Saccharomyces cerevisiae S288C: one gene and its partner. The protein of the gene in region 2 binds, or shares a complex with, the protein of the main gene of each other region. Each region holds a gene or a part of one and is shown on either strand. Other genes may lie near its edges. A codon is read from its position in the direction of its gene.

Evidence for each region. The genes of interacting proteins can lie anywhere in the genome.
Region 1: the proteins of RTT107 (region 2) and SLX4 are in contact, whole or in part, in a crystal structure (PDB 6J0Y), measured with the Saccharomyces cerevisiae proteins. Residues at the interface, in NP_012024.1 of Saccharomyces cerevisiae: Thr105 (codon at 5,268), Lys106 (codon at 5,265), Arg107 (codon at 5,262), His108 (codon at 5,259), Leu109 (codon at 5,256), Arg110 (codon at 5,253), Gln126 (codon at 5,205), Tyr128 (codon at 5,199), Lys131 (codon at 5,190), Ser132 (codon at 5,187), Ser133 (codon at 5,184), Phe134 (codon at 5,181), Asn135 (codon at 5,178), Asn155 (codon at 5,118), Tyr156 (codon at 5,115), Ile157 (codon at 5,112), Ser158 (codon at 5,109), Arg160 (codon at 5,103), Pro172 (codon at 5,067), Ile173 (codon at 5,064), Ala175 (codon at 5,058), Thr176 (codon at 5,055), Val177 (codon at 5,052), Lys179 (codon at 5,046), Leu180 (codon at 5,043), Thr181 (codon at 5,040), Phe182 (codon at 5,037), Gly183 (codon at 5,034), Leu198 (codon at 4,989), Arg392 (codon at 4,407); in NP_013236.1 of Saccharomyces cerevisiae: Ile538 (codon at 4,349), Arg539 (codon at 4,352), Val540 (codon at 4,355), Lys541 (codon at 4,358), Leu542 (codon at 4,361), Ser546 (codon at 4,373), Lys549 (codon at 4,382), Leu550 (codon at 4,385), Asn551 (codon at 4,388), Leu554 (codon at 4,397), Tyr560 (codon at 4,415), Arg561 (codon at 4,418), Val562 (codon at 4,421), Glu563 (codon at 4,424), Ala564 (codon at 4,427), Asn565 (codon at 4,430), Asp566 (codon at 4,433), Ser567 (codon at 4,436), Glu568 (codon at 4,439), Glu569 (codon at 4,442), Glu570 (codon at 4,445), Glu571 (codon at 4,448), Thr572 (codon at 4,451), Phe574 (codon at 4,457), Ile580 (codon at 4,475), Ile583 (codon at 4,484), Gln584 (codon at 4,487), Leu585 (codon at 4,490), Val586 (codon at 4,493).

Annotation. Positions count from the first base shown.
Region 1 is NC_001144.5:410,544-417,999, forward strand, and holds SLX4 (Slx4p), read left to right. Parts: upstream 1-2,737; coding exon 2,738-4,984; downstream 4,985-7,456. Other genes in the region: PDC5 (indolepyruvate decarboxylase 5), read left to right, coding at 180-1,871; TIS11 (Tis11p), read right to left, coding at 5,258-6,115; RKM5 (S-adenosylmethionine-dependent methyltransferase), read left to right, coding at 6,463-7,456. UniProt on the Saccharomyces cerevisiae protein: Regulatory subunit that interacts with and increases the activity of different structure-specific endonucleases. Has several distinct roles in protecting genome stability by resolving diverse forms of deleterious DNA structures.
Region 2 is NC_001140.6:400,872-408,545, reverse strand, and holds RTT107 (Rtt107p), read right to left. Parts: upstream 5,581-7,674; coding exon 2,368-5,580; downstream 1-2,367. Other genes in the region: LAM1 (Lam1p), read right to left, coding at 1-1,443; SPO16 (Spo16p), read left to right, coding at 5,864-6,460; SPO12 (Spo12p), read right to left, coding at 6,591-7,112. UniProt on the Saccharomyces cerevisiae protein: Required for resumption of chromosome replication after DNA damage, specifically in S phase. Is recruited to chromatin in the presence of RTT109 and RTT101 in response to stalled replication forks and acts as a scaffold during DNA repair.

The DNA of each region.
Region 1 (7,456 bases), on a different chromosome or scaffold from region 2:
GAAATTTCATATGATGAGACTTGAATAATGCAGCGGCGCTTGCTAAAAGAACTTGTATATAAGAGCTGCCATTCTCGATCAATATACTGTAGTAAGTCCTTTCCTCTCTTTCTTATTACACTTATTTCACATAATCAATCTCAAAGAGAACAACACAATACAATAACAAGAAGAACAAAATGTCTGAAATAACCTTAGGTAAATATTTATTTGAAAGATTGAGCCAAGTCAACTGTAACACCGTCTTCGGTTTGCCAGGTGACTTTAACTTGTCTCTTTTGGATAAGCTTTATGAAGTCAAAGGTATGAGATGGGCTGGTAACGCTAACGAATTGAACGCTGCCTATGCTGCTGATGGTTACGCTCGTATCAAGGGTATGTCCTGTATTATTACCACCTTCGGTGTTGGTGAATTGTCTGCTTTGAATGGTATTGCCGGTTCTTACGCTGAACATGTCGGTGTTTTGCACGTTGTTGGTGTTCCATCCATCTCTTCTCAAGCTAAGCAATTGTTGTTGCATCATACCTTGGGTAACGGTGACTTCACTGTTTTCCACAGAATGTCTGCCAACATTTCTGAAACCACTGCCATGATCACTGATATTGCTAACGCTCCAGCTGAAATTGACAGATGTATCAGAACCACCTACACTACCCAAAGACCAGTCTACTTGGGTTTGCCAGCTAACTTGGTTGACTTGAACGTCCCAGCCAAGTTATTGGAAACTCCAATTGACTTGTCTTTGAAGCCAAACGACGCTGAAGCTGAAGCTGAAGTTGTTAGAACTGTTGTTGAATTGATCAAGGATGCTAAGAACCCAGTTATCTTGGCTGATGCTTGTGCTTCTAGACATGATGTCAAGGCTGAAACTAAGAAGTTGATGGACTTGACTCAATTCCCAGTTTACGTCACCCCAATGGGTAAGGGTGCTATTGACGAACAACACCCAAGATACGGTGGTGTTTACGTTGGTACCTTGTCTAGACCAGAAGTTAAGAAGGCTGTAGAATCTGCTGATTTGATATTGTCTATCGGTGCTTTGTTGTCTGATTTCAATACCGGTTCTTTCTCTTACTCCTACAAGACCAAAAATATCGTTGAATTCCACTCTGACCACATCAAGATCAGAAACGCCACCTTCCCAGGTGTTCAAATGAAATTTGCCTTGCAAAAATTGTTGGATGCTATTCCAGAAGTCGTCAAGGACTACAAACCTGTTGCTGTCCCAGCTAGAGTTCCAATTACCAAGTCTACTCCAGCTAACACTCCAATGAAGCAAGAATGGATGTGGAACCATTTGGGTAACTTCTTGAGAGAAGGTGATATTGTTATTGCTGAAACCGGTACTTCCGCCTTCGGTATTAACCAAACTACTTTCCCAACAGATGTATACGCTATCGTCCAAGTCTTGTGGGGTTCCATTGGTTTCACAGTCGGCGCTCTATTGGGTGCTACTATGGCCGCTGAAGAACTTGATCCAAAGAAGAGAGTTATTTTATTCATTGGTGACGGTTCTCTACAATTGACTGTTCAAGAAATCTCTACCATGATTAGATGGGGTTTGAAGCCATACATTTTTGTCTTGAATAACAACGGTTACACCATTGAAAAATTGATTCACGGTCCTCATGCCGAATATAATGAAATTCAAGGTTGGGACCACTTGGCCTTATTGCCAACTTTTGGTGCTAGAAACTACGAAACCCACAGAGTTGCTACCACTGGTGAATGGGAAAAGTTGACTCAAGACAAGGACTTCCAAGACAACTCTAAGATTAGAATGATTGAAGTTATGTTGCCAGTCTTTGATGCTCCACAAAACTTGGTTAAACAAGCTCAATTGACTGCCGCTACTAACGCTAAACAATAAGCTAATTAACATAAAACTCATGATTCAACGTTTGTGTATTTTTTTACTTTTGAAGGTTATAGATGTTTAGGTAAATAATTGGCATAGATATAGTTTTAGTATAATAAATTTCTGATTTGGTTTAAAATATCAACTATTTTTTTTCACATATGTTCTTGTAATTACTTTTCTGTCCTGTCTTCCAGGTTAAAGATTAGCTTCTAATATTTTAGGTGGTTTATTATTTAATTTTATGCTGATTAATTTATTTACTTTCGTATTCGGTTTTGTACCTTTAGCTATGATCTTAGCTAATTGAAGAGGGTGGTGTGATCTTTAACCATACCTTATTATCTTTCAGCTGCTTACCATTTTCTTATATTGATTTTTAGCGAAAGATTTTTATTCACAAGCTTTTTTTATCCTTAATGCTCGAATACTACAACAAAACAAAAAACATTAAACAGTTTTTAATTTTGTGAACAAACTGAATTACAAGGCCTTACATCTTATTTAGAATATATTAAGAAACAGAGGCCAACATGCCTTCTTAATTATATTGATATGGACCTCTGTCCTTCCTAAAAACGGGTTTTTGTTCGATGAAAAATCACCAGTAGAGCACCATATATGAATTTACAATCATTGTAGGGAAAAGAAAACTTGTTCTGCTTCGCCAATTGATTTCATTTCTTTTTTTCCTTTGTTTTTGTTGTATACTATTAATATGCGTAGTTCTTTGTCACTTAGTGGTTTTTTGTTTAATTTATAACGCGAAAGCTGCATACTAAAAATATAGAGATGAATGGAACTCCGAACAAGCAAGAGAGATATTATCTATCTCTGTTCCATAATAATAACCAGTAGTTCAGTTGGGGAACTTAATAATGGAACTTCAGAGGGCACAACGGAATTTGAAGTTTTTACAAAACGAGGATTATGTGAACGTTACCGATCAAACTAACCTGAATGGAGAGAGCCAGAATGCTTACTCTTTAGGAATGGAAACTCAAGTACCGGAAATGCAGTTTTCCTTATCATCTGATGATGATTCAATAGGTACGCAAGTAAAAAGCGTAACTGCACAAAAATCGCCTATGACGCAAGAGACTACGAAAAACGATACAGAAAGAAATAAAGATGTTGATAAAAGTTGTAACCCAGTCAGCACTTCCCATCCCGATTTAGGCGGATCAAATATCGAGGAGAACATATTCATTAACACTCAAATTCAAAGCCGACTTGATGACGCAGAGGAAGAAACAAATCTTAAGTTAAAACTTGAAAAATTCAAGTATTCGTTCAAGAGTAGTAACGCAGATGATACCCACAGCAATGCAAATGTAACAGCTAAAAGAAGACCAGCAATAAGGAAGGCTAATTCGAAACTCAAAACAAAACCTAAAACTAAACGAGACCCTAAAATTATCAAAAATATAACTGATTTCAATATTAATAACTACGAACGTTCAAGGACTGCCAGCTTATTAAAGCAATTATCAGGTAAGCACAAGAAGGTTTTGGACATAATAAAGACGCAAAATGAAGGAAACAGTGATAAACCTCCCAGAGCAAGGAATAACAAGGGTGAAAAAGCTACTTTTGATACATATAGTGAACAGGAGTGGAAAGATATTATGAAACTTCTTCTACAAAAGTTTCCGCAAAGTGAGGAAACGGATTTGAATGAAGTCCAGAAATTTTTATATGGAAGCGAAAAAAGCTCGAATTCTCTAGACAATCAAGAATCCTCACAACAAAGACTTTGGACAGCATCACAATTACCACCCGAGCTTCCCGATGAGGCTATTCAACCAGAGCAGGAAGAAAGGATACGCGATACCCAAAGTGCAGTAAATTTCTTATCGTTGTCTCAAGTAATGGATGACAAAAGTGAAATTATGAAAGACGAAGAAAGCATAATTATTTCACGGGGAGATTCTACAAGCTCTCAAGAATATGGAAACGGGTTAGAGCCACAACAACCGGTAGGAAATGTTGTTGGTGAAGATATTGAACTGGCTGTGGGAACACGTATAAATGCATTTTCACTGACAGATTATAAAGCTTGCAAACCTATGTCTGTTGAGGTAAGTAGAAGATGCGAAAACAGTACGGATAATGATTATGACAATATTTCTATTGTCTCAGATACTACAGATGAGACATCCACATTGTTTCCACTAGACCAGTATCGGTATGTTTTCATTGAAAATGATGAAAGACCACCATTAGCCACCGACACGATAGGCAGCACACAGTTTTTCACTCCAAACACATCGCCTTTGGATGGGATAATCGATTTAACACAGGAATCATTCAAAGCTGTTCGATCGTTAATATCACCTTTGAAAGTAGAAAACAACAAAACAGGGGTAACATCACAAGCATCAAATCAGGTTCAGGTACCAGCTACAAGAACCCCTACAATTATTCCTCAAAAGAACCTTACTACAACTTTAAAAACTGAAGAAGAAAAGAATAACATAGGAAGTTCCATCAGAGTTAAATTATTGCAAGAAAGCGTAGTTAAGCTAAACCCCAAACTGGTGAAACATAACTTTTATAGAGTTGAGGCAAATGATTCTGAAGAAGAGGAGACAGAATTTGATGACCAATTCTGCATTGCTGATATCCAATTGGTAGATTCCTCCAAAATTTCGACTAAAGATTCTACACAAAATCCTACTACTAGCAACGACATTATTGATACCTCTGCAGCTAGTTCCATAGCTTCTCCCGAGAAATTTTGTGAGATCATGATGTCCCAATCAATGAAAGAGCTTCGACAAAGCTTGAAAACAGTGGGGTTGAAACCTATGAGGACGAAGGTTGAAATCATTCAATCCTTACAAACTGCATCTCAAATTCTGTCCACAGCTAATCCAGATAATAAAGGTGAGCATGGTGGGGTGGCAAATTTCAGTAAGATAGAAATATTTGATCATTTAACCGAACTAATTGAAGCCTTCCCTGATTTTTTGGAGCGAATATATACCTTTGAACCCATTCCGCTAAATGAGCTAATTGAAAAGCTGTTCAGCGCCGAGCCATTTGTTTCGCAAATCGACGAAATGACCATCAGAGAATGGGCCGATGTTCAAGGAATATGTCTGAGAAACGATAAAAAGTAGTGCCGAATGATTGAGAATTTGACAAAACAAAAACAAAACAAAACAAACGTTACGTATAGATGAAGAATACACGTACACAAATATGCATATATACCGTCATGAAGTAGCTTAACTTAAATAAAAGTTTTTTTTTTTTAGAGTTACCAATATCGCAAACATGAAAATGAGAATAAAAAAAAAAAAGCAGAAAAAAAAAAAGCATAACATGGAGAAAAAAATAATAAATAATTGAGTTTAGTTGAGACGCCGGTCTTCGCCAGGCCAGGAATTGTTTCACCAGGTCATTCTCTGCAAAGCCTTTACTTTAACATTTAGATTCTTCTTCTTGGCGGAGCCGCGACCATTGCTTCTCTTTTCGTCTGATTGTTTGCTAGTCGAAGAGACGTTACAGTAAGTACCAGCTTTCACGTAAACAGCAATGTCGTTGTCGTCGCCATGTTTGAAGCAGCATCTTCTGCCATAAGGACAATAACCTAGTTTCTCCCAATTCACACAGGGCTTCGTCCTGAAATTCTTGCACGATTTCTTAACCTTTAATTCGCCGAGTCCGTGAGCAAACTGACACTTACTGCCATAAGGGCAACTTCCTTTTAAAGTGAATGATTCGCACAGCTCTGTCTTGTATAATTGTTTGGGAGTTTCCTGCACTTGGCTTTTCACCTTAGGTTGAGCTGAGGATTCCTTCTCTGATGAAAAAGAAGCATCATTTTTGGGCTTTTGTTGAGACAACTGTTGCAAATTCTGTGAAGTTAATGGTAATTGTGAAGATTTTGGGACATAGTCCGGATTTATTTGTACCTCTAGTTTCTTTTTAAAAGTAGTAGGTGCCGTGCTATTCAGGTGAGCGGATGGGAGAAAAGGGTTCATTAACTGTGGATCATACAGTAGCCCCGGTTGAATAGCGTTTGTATTTTTTGGTGGAGAGAATGAAACTGCCGAAGATATTTCACTGCTTGTTTCCTGTATGTTATCCTCGTTTAAAATCGTCTTGTTGTAATACTCCTCCAGTTCCCTAATATTGATCTGGTACTGGTAGTCATTTAATGGATTTTGCTCTTGATCTGTGGAAAACAACGACGTTAAGTCAGTCTTCTGAGATTCTGGTCTAGTATATGATAATTGAGCCCACATATTGCGTTATTTTTTACGTATTGAGTTTGCAGCACTGTTTCGCTTTCTCTCAAGATGCACAAATACGACCTACCAAGAGCCTCCAAGTCCCACCAACGATTATGTCTTCTCTCAAATATATATACAAGTTACATGTAGAGAAATCGAGACGAGATTGCTGGCACAATGCACCCAACTGCATGTGCCATTGTGCATCTACACCTCCAAATTAGGGTGTCGATTGGCGTCGTCTTCTTTAATGTGGGTGCATTTTGCGGCGGCGCGACAAATATAGAGAACTGACCAAGGCAGTGCTGTCAAGAAGAGAGAATGGTTACGGCAGCGAAGACGCAAATGGGCTAGGCAGAATGGCATTCAAGTTATGGCTACTGGATGAGGAAACAATATACGAGCACGTGTTCGAACGGTACACACAATTGGAGGGCCAGTCCGGGAAACTGGCGCAGGATTTGGGTATTCAGGATAGAAGGGGCGGTGTGCTAGAGATAACGTTTGAACCCTCTGGGCTGGAAGGCGGCAGAAAAAAAAAGCGAGTGAGAAGAAGAAATAAGGCTAGTAGTGTTGAAGAAGATCAGAATGTTGCTGTGGATAGCTATCATGTTAGCGTGGGGCAGTCCATATCAAGCTTGCGCTCGTCCAGAGACAACGGAAACTCCACCACAGGATACGTTTTGTGGTCTACCACACCTTTCTTCATCAACTGGCTGCTGTATAGTACTAGCGCTGCACCTTTCCGTCTTGGGAGTCAGGTGGAAGTAACCTGCGGGTCTTCTTGCGAGGGGCACAAGCTTGAGTTGCCCAGGCTGGTCGACCTCACGGGCGCTGATCGCGGCAAGAGAGGTATCTTGGAACTTGGAGCAGGAATATCAGGTATTTTGCCCGTGATTCTTGGTAACTTCGTCGACACCTACGTGTCGACAGATCAGAAGGGCATTCTTAATAAATTAAAAGATAACATCATGGAAAACTTATCACAGTTGACCAGAAAGCGGTGCATTTCCCGATCACTAAGATTGGAACTTCCCACCGTCGAACCAGTTGGCGACGCTGATATCACCGCAGCGTCACTTCCATCTAAGTCTACGTTGCATTTGGAAGTAGCCGCTCTAGACTGGGAGAAGATAAACTTGCAAGACAAAAAGACCCACTCTCTGCATCCTGAGTTGTCACTCATAGGTGAAACATGTTCTTCCGTGTACGTTATAGCTATGGATGTCATATACAACGAGTACCTGATAGATCCGTTTCTGAAGACGCTCAAGCAACTCAAACACTGGTTACAAACTACCTACAATTTGCAATTCCATGTCCTCGTGGGGATACACTTGCGGTCACAAGAGG
Region 2 (7,674 bases):
CTCTGACATATAATTTTTTTTTAGCTCTTCTACCAATGTCAAAGTTTTACTGGAAAATGAAGTTAATAATTTATCTGTTGACGTTGAGCTACTTGAAGCAAACTCGAAAAATTGAGGTTCAATTTTTTTTCTCGCCAATTGATAACGAGGATCGTTTTCCTCCTTTATCGACAATGCGATTCTTTTGTGAGAAGTTAAGGTGTTTATCCACGATTTTAACTCGTCAATACTTTCAGCTTGCAGGATGATATCTATGTATGTATTTTCTTCTTCTGTTTTGCAATTTGGATTTTGAATCCTCAATTTGAAACAAAAATTTCTAGGTTCTTTGGGCAGATATTCTACAGTTATCCATAATATACCGAATTTATCGGTTTCTTCGACATAAGTTTTGCTAGGCGACAGTGAAAAAACTCCAAAAACATTGTTCTGTAGAAAGCACCATCTTCTTACCCACACAACTCTTTTCGGATCATGACCAACTGTAGTTTTCATGTACAACCAACCCGATAGCCCTTTTTCCTCAGAATTATTTCCGTTACTTATCGATTTTGGAAGGTTAAACTTCAAATTTTGTATGCTTTTCAAATCATAGTCTTGTATCAGGCGAGATGGCTTCATTCTTGCCAAGCTGAGCTTCAGAATGGCATACTTAGCTTCAGATAGCTTGGATGACAATGCTTGTAAAGTCTGAAGGTTACTTTCTATCCAATCGGTCCAATCCTTTAATGTTTCCGTAAGTTCGGGAGTAATGTCGATAACGTCCTTGGTGTCCTTGGTAGTAATAACGTTATTTTTGCGCACAATGTCTATTGTCTCTATCAGGAATTTATCCAAATTAACTTTCATTAACGAAATAGCCTCAGTCAAATCCAAGGAAGCTTCTATATATTTGTGTTTAATATCGACTAATTTGAATGTTTCATTTTGCAGATTTTGTGGAATTAAAGTATTGCCATCATTAGTGGCCGCTAAAAAGTCAGTTAAAAACGAATCATACTTCCTTTGGTAGTATTCAAAAGTTTTTCTCTTGTTGAAGTAAGGGTTAATAGCATCAGAGCTCAAAGCAGACAATGCCGCAGTGTATTGTGAGTTTTCATCACCTAAAATTATTTTCATAACCGTATTTGAAAGGTCACTGACATCTCTAGTAAAGTCTCTTACAAGCAAGGGAGTATATGGCTGGTTACTGACAAATCCATTGGAGAGTAATATAGGAGAAGGGAGCAGCTGTGAAAATAGTGTTTCCTTTATTCTTTGGAAGTCTTGGAACGAAGGCTTGTACGTATTTTCTACATAATCCACAGTACTGTGCATCCAACTACTCAGAGATTCCATTCTGGTATGGAAATAATTGACAGAAGCTCTAAAAGAGGGGGAATCGGTGGATGCTTCGTTAAGTGCAACGGTTATTAGCCGTAGCTCCGCTTTGTGTTCATGCATTATAAAATTGTTCTACAATGACCAATACCAAAGCTATAGAAGTGAAAAACTTGAAATTGGCAGTACTAAATCGAAGAACAGACCATCAGCTTCTGTCACCCTAGTTTTCACTACAATAAATGAAAGCTTCGCGAATAATACCTACAGCCCTTTCTTATTCACCAAATTTTCAGAGTGTTCTCTTCAAAGTTCGGGTAATAGGTGATTTATCTTCACTCATATTGAGACGATACAATACGCACGAGGATAATAAGCCCAAACTCAAAATTATGCATCATACCGTAATGTTTCCCATTTAACCCAATTTTATCTCTCATCCGCTCCACATATATGTATCTTGGTACTGTTCGCATGTAAACATTATTTAAGATTTCTGACGTAAATCTATGGATGTAACCTGTTTAATTATTAGATCAAAAAGTTCTTACTAACGTTAGTAGTTGGCTTGAGCCATTAAATTTTGCGTCATTAACATTGCGGATACTCTCGTAATAATATACCTAAAATACACTAGGTTTGGAACATTGTTCTTGACGCATTGAGTAGAAGGGCTCTCCGCTGTGTGAATATCTCAGAGTGGAAAATTGTACAATAGAGTTGCTTTACGCATTCTGGCCATGAATCTGTTTTTATCCATGAAATTGTAGAAAAATTAAAAGGTTTGCGGATAAAGTGTGGAATAAATGATTCTACTCACGGTACTATTTGACCCTTTGTATCCTATATTAGAAATGCTTTATTAAACAATCTAATTCAAAGACAGTACCAAATAATTGTTTCTAACTAGACATTTAAAATGGTCTGTTAATCATATGTGGGTTGTTTGTTGAACATAAGATTTTCTACAACGCATCTTTATAATTATTATATATTTATTTGTTATCAGTGTCGTATGTCAGATGACGTAATATATAGTGTCCATTTTTAGTTATTTTTCTTTTGATACAAAACATTTTTCTTTGATGTAAAATCAACATTGAGATGAAAAATTGATTCAACACACCAATTCCATTCAACAATCAAAATTGTTTCGTTTTTATCACGATCATTAATCAGTTTGGTAAATTTTTTAACCTGTGAAGCTTTGGTGACGATAAGTACGTATTTAAAAATGCCTCCGTTTTCCTGCTTAGAAACGTCATTTGGGATTATGTCTTCAAATGTGCATTTCTTACTACGTAAAACGTTGATTTTTTCGATACCATGTGCCTTTAGAACAGAGCCTATTGTATCTACACCACCCGGTATATCATTGACTAAGTTAATGCATCTAATATTCGCTCTTTCGAACACCTTAGTAGGTAGTTTGGTTTTTGATATTATACTCTCATTAATTCCATTTATCTCATAATCAAACAAGTTTATATTTATTTGAGAAAGTTTATCTTTTTTAGAATGAATTTGTTTCAGTAAATCAATAATAAATTCAGGTTTCAATGCGAATTTTAACGGTTCAAAACTTAAGCTTTTTAAAAATTTCTCGGTTCTCAAAATCTTTGGAGCAAAAATACAATTCAATTTATCCGTTTCTTTAATATTGTCAAAAATTTTTATACCTAGTTGGTTCAATATTTCGATGTCAACCTCATTAAATCCATCATGGAAACAACCGGTGCAAACCGCTTTTAGGTCATAATTTGGTAGTTCATTAAATCTAGCTAATATCTTTTCCGCTTTAGTAGCCAGTTCTTTGTTATTATTTGACCTTTCAACATCTTGGGACAATGAAATCTCCTCGCTATCAATTCTCTTCCTTTTAAAGTTTTTCTGAAATTCATTTAATGATTCAATATCTGTATGCAATCTCTTCGCAGCTTGTGTCTTTGCTAACCTTGAATTGCCACTTGATGGCATAAAAACTTGCGTTTGCGCGGTGGTTGGAGTATCAACGCCACTCGTAATATTTTGAGACGTCTTGGGTGTGGTATATTTGGAATTAACTGCCGGTTTTTCGTCATTAATGTGATCATCATTATCAGATAATCCTTCAAACAAATGCGAGAATTTATCTGTATCTTTTTTAGAAGTGACGTCTTCCGTAGAAATCAGTTTTCCTGTACTTTCCTCCCCTTGCTTTTCATTCGTCATTTGATCTACTTCAATGTGACATTCATTGGTTTCTTTCTCCTTTTCATTTTTCTTCGAAGTTTTGATCTCTCGTTTAGTTCGTTGTCCTAGCTGAACTTGCAGCTCCGTTTCTTCCTCTTCTTTTTTATAATCTATGTCATTCTTCTTGCGTGACTGTTCCCTTATTTCTTGTTTCTTAGGTGCATCATACTCCGTAATAGGTTTCGTAAACTCCTTTTCTTCTCTTTTTTCATGTCCTTCACAGAAAACCTCTGTTTCCATACTAATATCTGAGTTTGAGTCTTTCTTTTGTAAATTAGATTTTTTACTGTCAACTACTGGAAAACTTGCCCTTGAAGGTCTGGAAACAAAACTCCGTTCTAAATCTCCAGAATGGGTTACAGCCACCTCTCCTGATATTTTTTGTAATTTGTCAATCTTTTCATCAATTGAGTTCTCAAAACTACTAATGGGCGTACCATCTTTCTTTGATAATACATTGGTGTTATCGTTAATTTGATCCATTTGATCATTTGTGGGAGGCGGCTTCTCTGATATGGATTGCGTGTCGTAAGTCACCATCGATAGGTTTTTTGGAGTTGGGAGAGATGAATGATCCATTCCTATTTGGCCGATATTCCATCCCATGTTATCATCCAATTTAAAATTTTGAAATCTACTGTCTTTGGGGTTTAACTTGGAATTATTCATATAACATTGCTCTAACCACATATGATTTGTCACAATAATGGCATTTTGCGGGTCCAGTGACCATTTTTTTGCGACTTTGAATTTTTTGCCAATTGTACTCTTCGTGATCAAGTGTGTGTTTTTTCTTGTTAGTTCAGGTGTGCTAAGTCCTCCTAATATTTCTACTAACCTCTGAATATAAAACCTTTGGGAGCCGAAATAATTAGTGTACGCGACTGTTAATTCCTTAGAAGTAAATAATTTCGCATGAAATGGTTGGTGAATAAGTTTACATTGCGATACAGGTGTAAATTTTTGCAGCGCAAACATATAAAACAACCAACTTACGTTCCCAACATGAATTTCCGGTTTAATGCTTTTGGTTTTTTCTAGTATCGGTGAGTTAGCAGAGTGGCCGATATAACAGTCAATATCAGGAAAAGCTTGGTAAACAGACTTCAGATCGTCAGAAAAACTCAACGGAGTTACTTTGCCGTCCAAATCCTCGATAAATCCTTTCAAAAACCAATACAAAGGTGTGAAAAAGTTTAAATCTGGTGAGATAGCAAAGTGGTGATTTTTGAATAAAGTTTTGTTTGGATGAAGAGTAAGCTGCGATGATGATGTCTGCTTATCGCCAATAACCTCTTCCCATTTTGCGAATAACTGTTCCTCACTGGTGTCCTGCATATCAAGCTCACACAAAGTAGCAAGCTCGCCCTTCAAGGGCTTCGCCATTTTGAAATGATATAATATCCATATTGGATAGACAAATTTCCACTCTCTCAAAGGCTTTTCGGTGTGCTTGTTGGTCGATGAAGAGGAAAAAGAGCCAAATGTCAATTTACTGACCGTTGCTATGATCGGGTCCTGGGGACTTTGAACAATCACATGCGTCGTTCTATTTGAGATGTAATTGACTAAAGTGCCTCCTAATAAATGAAGCAAATCAGAGTATAATATGTATTCACACTTATTAAACGAGCTTTTGGAAATATATACTTGACAGTCTCGGAGCAAATGAAATGGGTTAGGTGAATACATATTTGTCCTCAAATGTCTCTTCGTCTTGACCGAATCCTGGACCCAAGTGTGTGATACCACCGGGATCAAAAGATCGAAATAAACTATCTTATAAAAAGGAAAGTTGATTGTATTACTAATGACAAAATGTACTGTTTGCGGGCCGAATTTGTTCATGAACCAATCTTTATCCGTCTTGACATCTTTCAAATTTTCGTTATAAAGCTCGTATATTTGACAGTTATTGCATGAATTATCCATCAAAAGCTTTCTAGTAGAGTGAGCGATGGGAAGCTCAGCCTCTGCTGCCACTAAAATTAAAAAATTTAGCTGCTCAAACAGAAGTGATGTGCTCATGGATCGTATATTTACCAGTATGCTACCTCCTTGAAATCTTGCCCAATAACCTAATGACTTCCATTGAATATACAATATAGAACATTGTGATGTATTTATTTATTGGCAAAAAATGTGACGCGAAAAACAACATTAGATGAGTGAAAAAGAAAAGTCACATCTGATATAGCTTACCCTGTTAACGCGTGAAAAGTGGGCGGCTAAAACCGAGAAAATACGAAATAGTGTAAAGGTTCAAGAGAATAAACTTCTGGAACAACATTTCTGGAATGGTTCAATAGAAATGTCTGAATTCTTTTGGGATGTACAAAAAATACAAGAGATTTCTAATGTCGAAGAACATTCTGTGGTTAAGTGTGTTACTGTGAATACGAGCAGGTTAATTTCGCAGCTTAACGAGGAGCTACAAGACGAAGAAAGTGGCGTCAATTTTATTGTTACACAGCTGCAATTACTGATAAATAATGTCTATGAGAAAATACAGAAAAGCCCTGGAGTTCCCGCACATCGTTCTCTGATGATAAATTTGAATTTCACGCGCTTGAAATTCTCAATAGCTTATTGGGATATCTTATTGGAGAGGTCACTAGATCTAATAAATGGACCATCGAAAACGGGTGCCCGCTACTTTATTACAGAGGTTACACCAGTAGACAGAAGTCGATATGTTGAAAACAATCAATATTTTCTAGCTTTTAAAGCTAACCAGCGTTTGACACGGAACAGCGTGGATATGGACGAGTTTATTGATTTTGAAATTCTAATCAAGCAAATAATTTTCGACCTCTTCAAAAAAAACGGAATTCCAGATCAAGATTTTGAAGCCATTTTATCAAGGTTTCATAATTTGGAAAGCTTGGTGGTTGCTTTTAATGAATAATAAAAAAAATGTAAGAAAAAAAAAATCAGGTATTGTTGAATTATTATTTACTTATTCTTTATGTACTCGTTTGCTTATTGGTTTAGTGTAGCATTTGGCTATTTTTGGATGACTAGAAAGGCAGATTTTTTTAGTAGAAATACTCCTCATCTTCATCGATTTCTACATCCTCTGAATCGGCAGCAAGGTTGCCTTTAAAGTTCAGTTTCATAGGATTGACTTTCTTTTTCTTTCCGAACATCTTAACTTTGTGCTCATTCAATTTCAATGAGCATGGTGATACCAGCCTGTCAGTCGGTGATGCAAATCTTTGTTGTAGTTGGAGTTTCCTCTTCGGATCCTGTTTTAAAAGATCCCTTTTGAACATTGTCTTTTTTACCAAATTGCTAGTGGTGTGTGACGACTTCAAGTTTGAAGTGCTTTTTTTCCTAAAAATTCGAAAGGCCGCAATCTCCTCCTCTAAATTAGGTATATTCTCTTTATTGGCGTCCTCTCCTGTCTTCGCCGATTCATTGTAATTATTGATGTTATTGTGGTGATGGTAGTTGTCGTTGTTGCTGCTGCTGCTTCTGGTGATTGTGTTTTCTCTGGTAATATCAGTCTTGAGGATGGAAGCCGTGCGTGCTGATTGGTCACTTGCCTTGTTGGACATAAATACGTTTTCTATTGTTCTTACTGTATATGTTATTTTGTTTTCCTACTAGAAGTATTCCAAGATAGTAACTAATCTGAATGAACGTTTGGCTGACCTCCTAAAAACTAGTTTGAAATGGCGCTTTAGACTTCAAAAGGAGGAATTCTCCTCTTGTGGCAGTATTGTTTCATGCTTTTGCTTACAATTTTCATTAGGAGAAAAAAAGGAAAGATGCCCTGTTTACATATTTCCAAATTAGGAAAAGATATTAACCATGGCGAACTGCATTTCAGACCTGCTTTTTTTTTTCTGTAACCCTTTTAAATTAGGGTTTGCAATTTTGGCATTTTTCTTTTTTCCACAATGGGAAGAGGCAATACAATGGGAATCATTGAAATTTCCATAAATGTTGATGAGTCTTTGGCTGAGCAAGTCACATTGAAGTGTTCGCTGCACGGTGAGATACACCCTGTTTAACTTTATTTGTCACCTTTTTGCTGGTATTTTTTAGTCGCTTTTAACCTCGCTTTTTCAAAGACTATCTCCATTCTATTCTTCCCTTTTTCTTTTGTTCATTTGC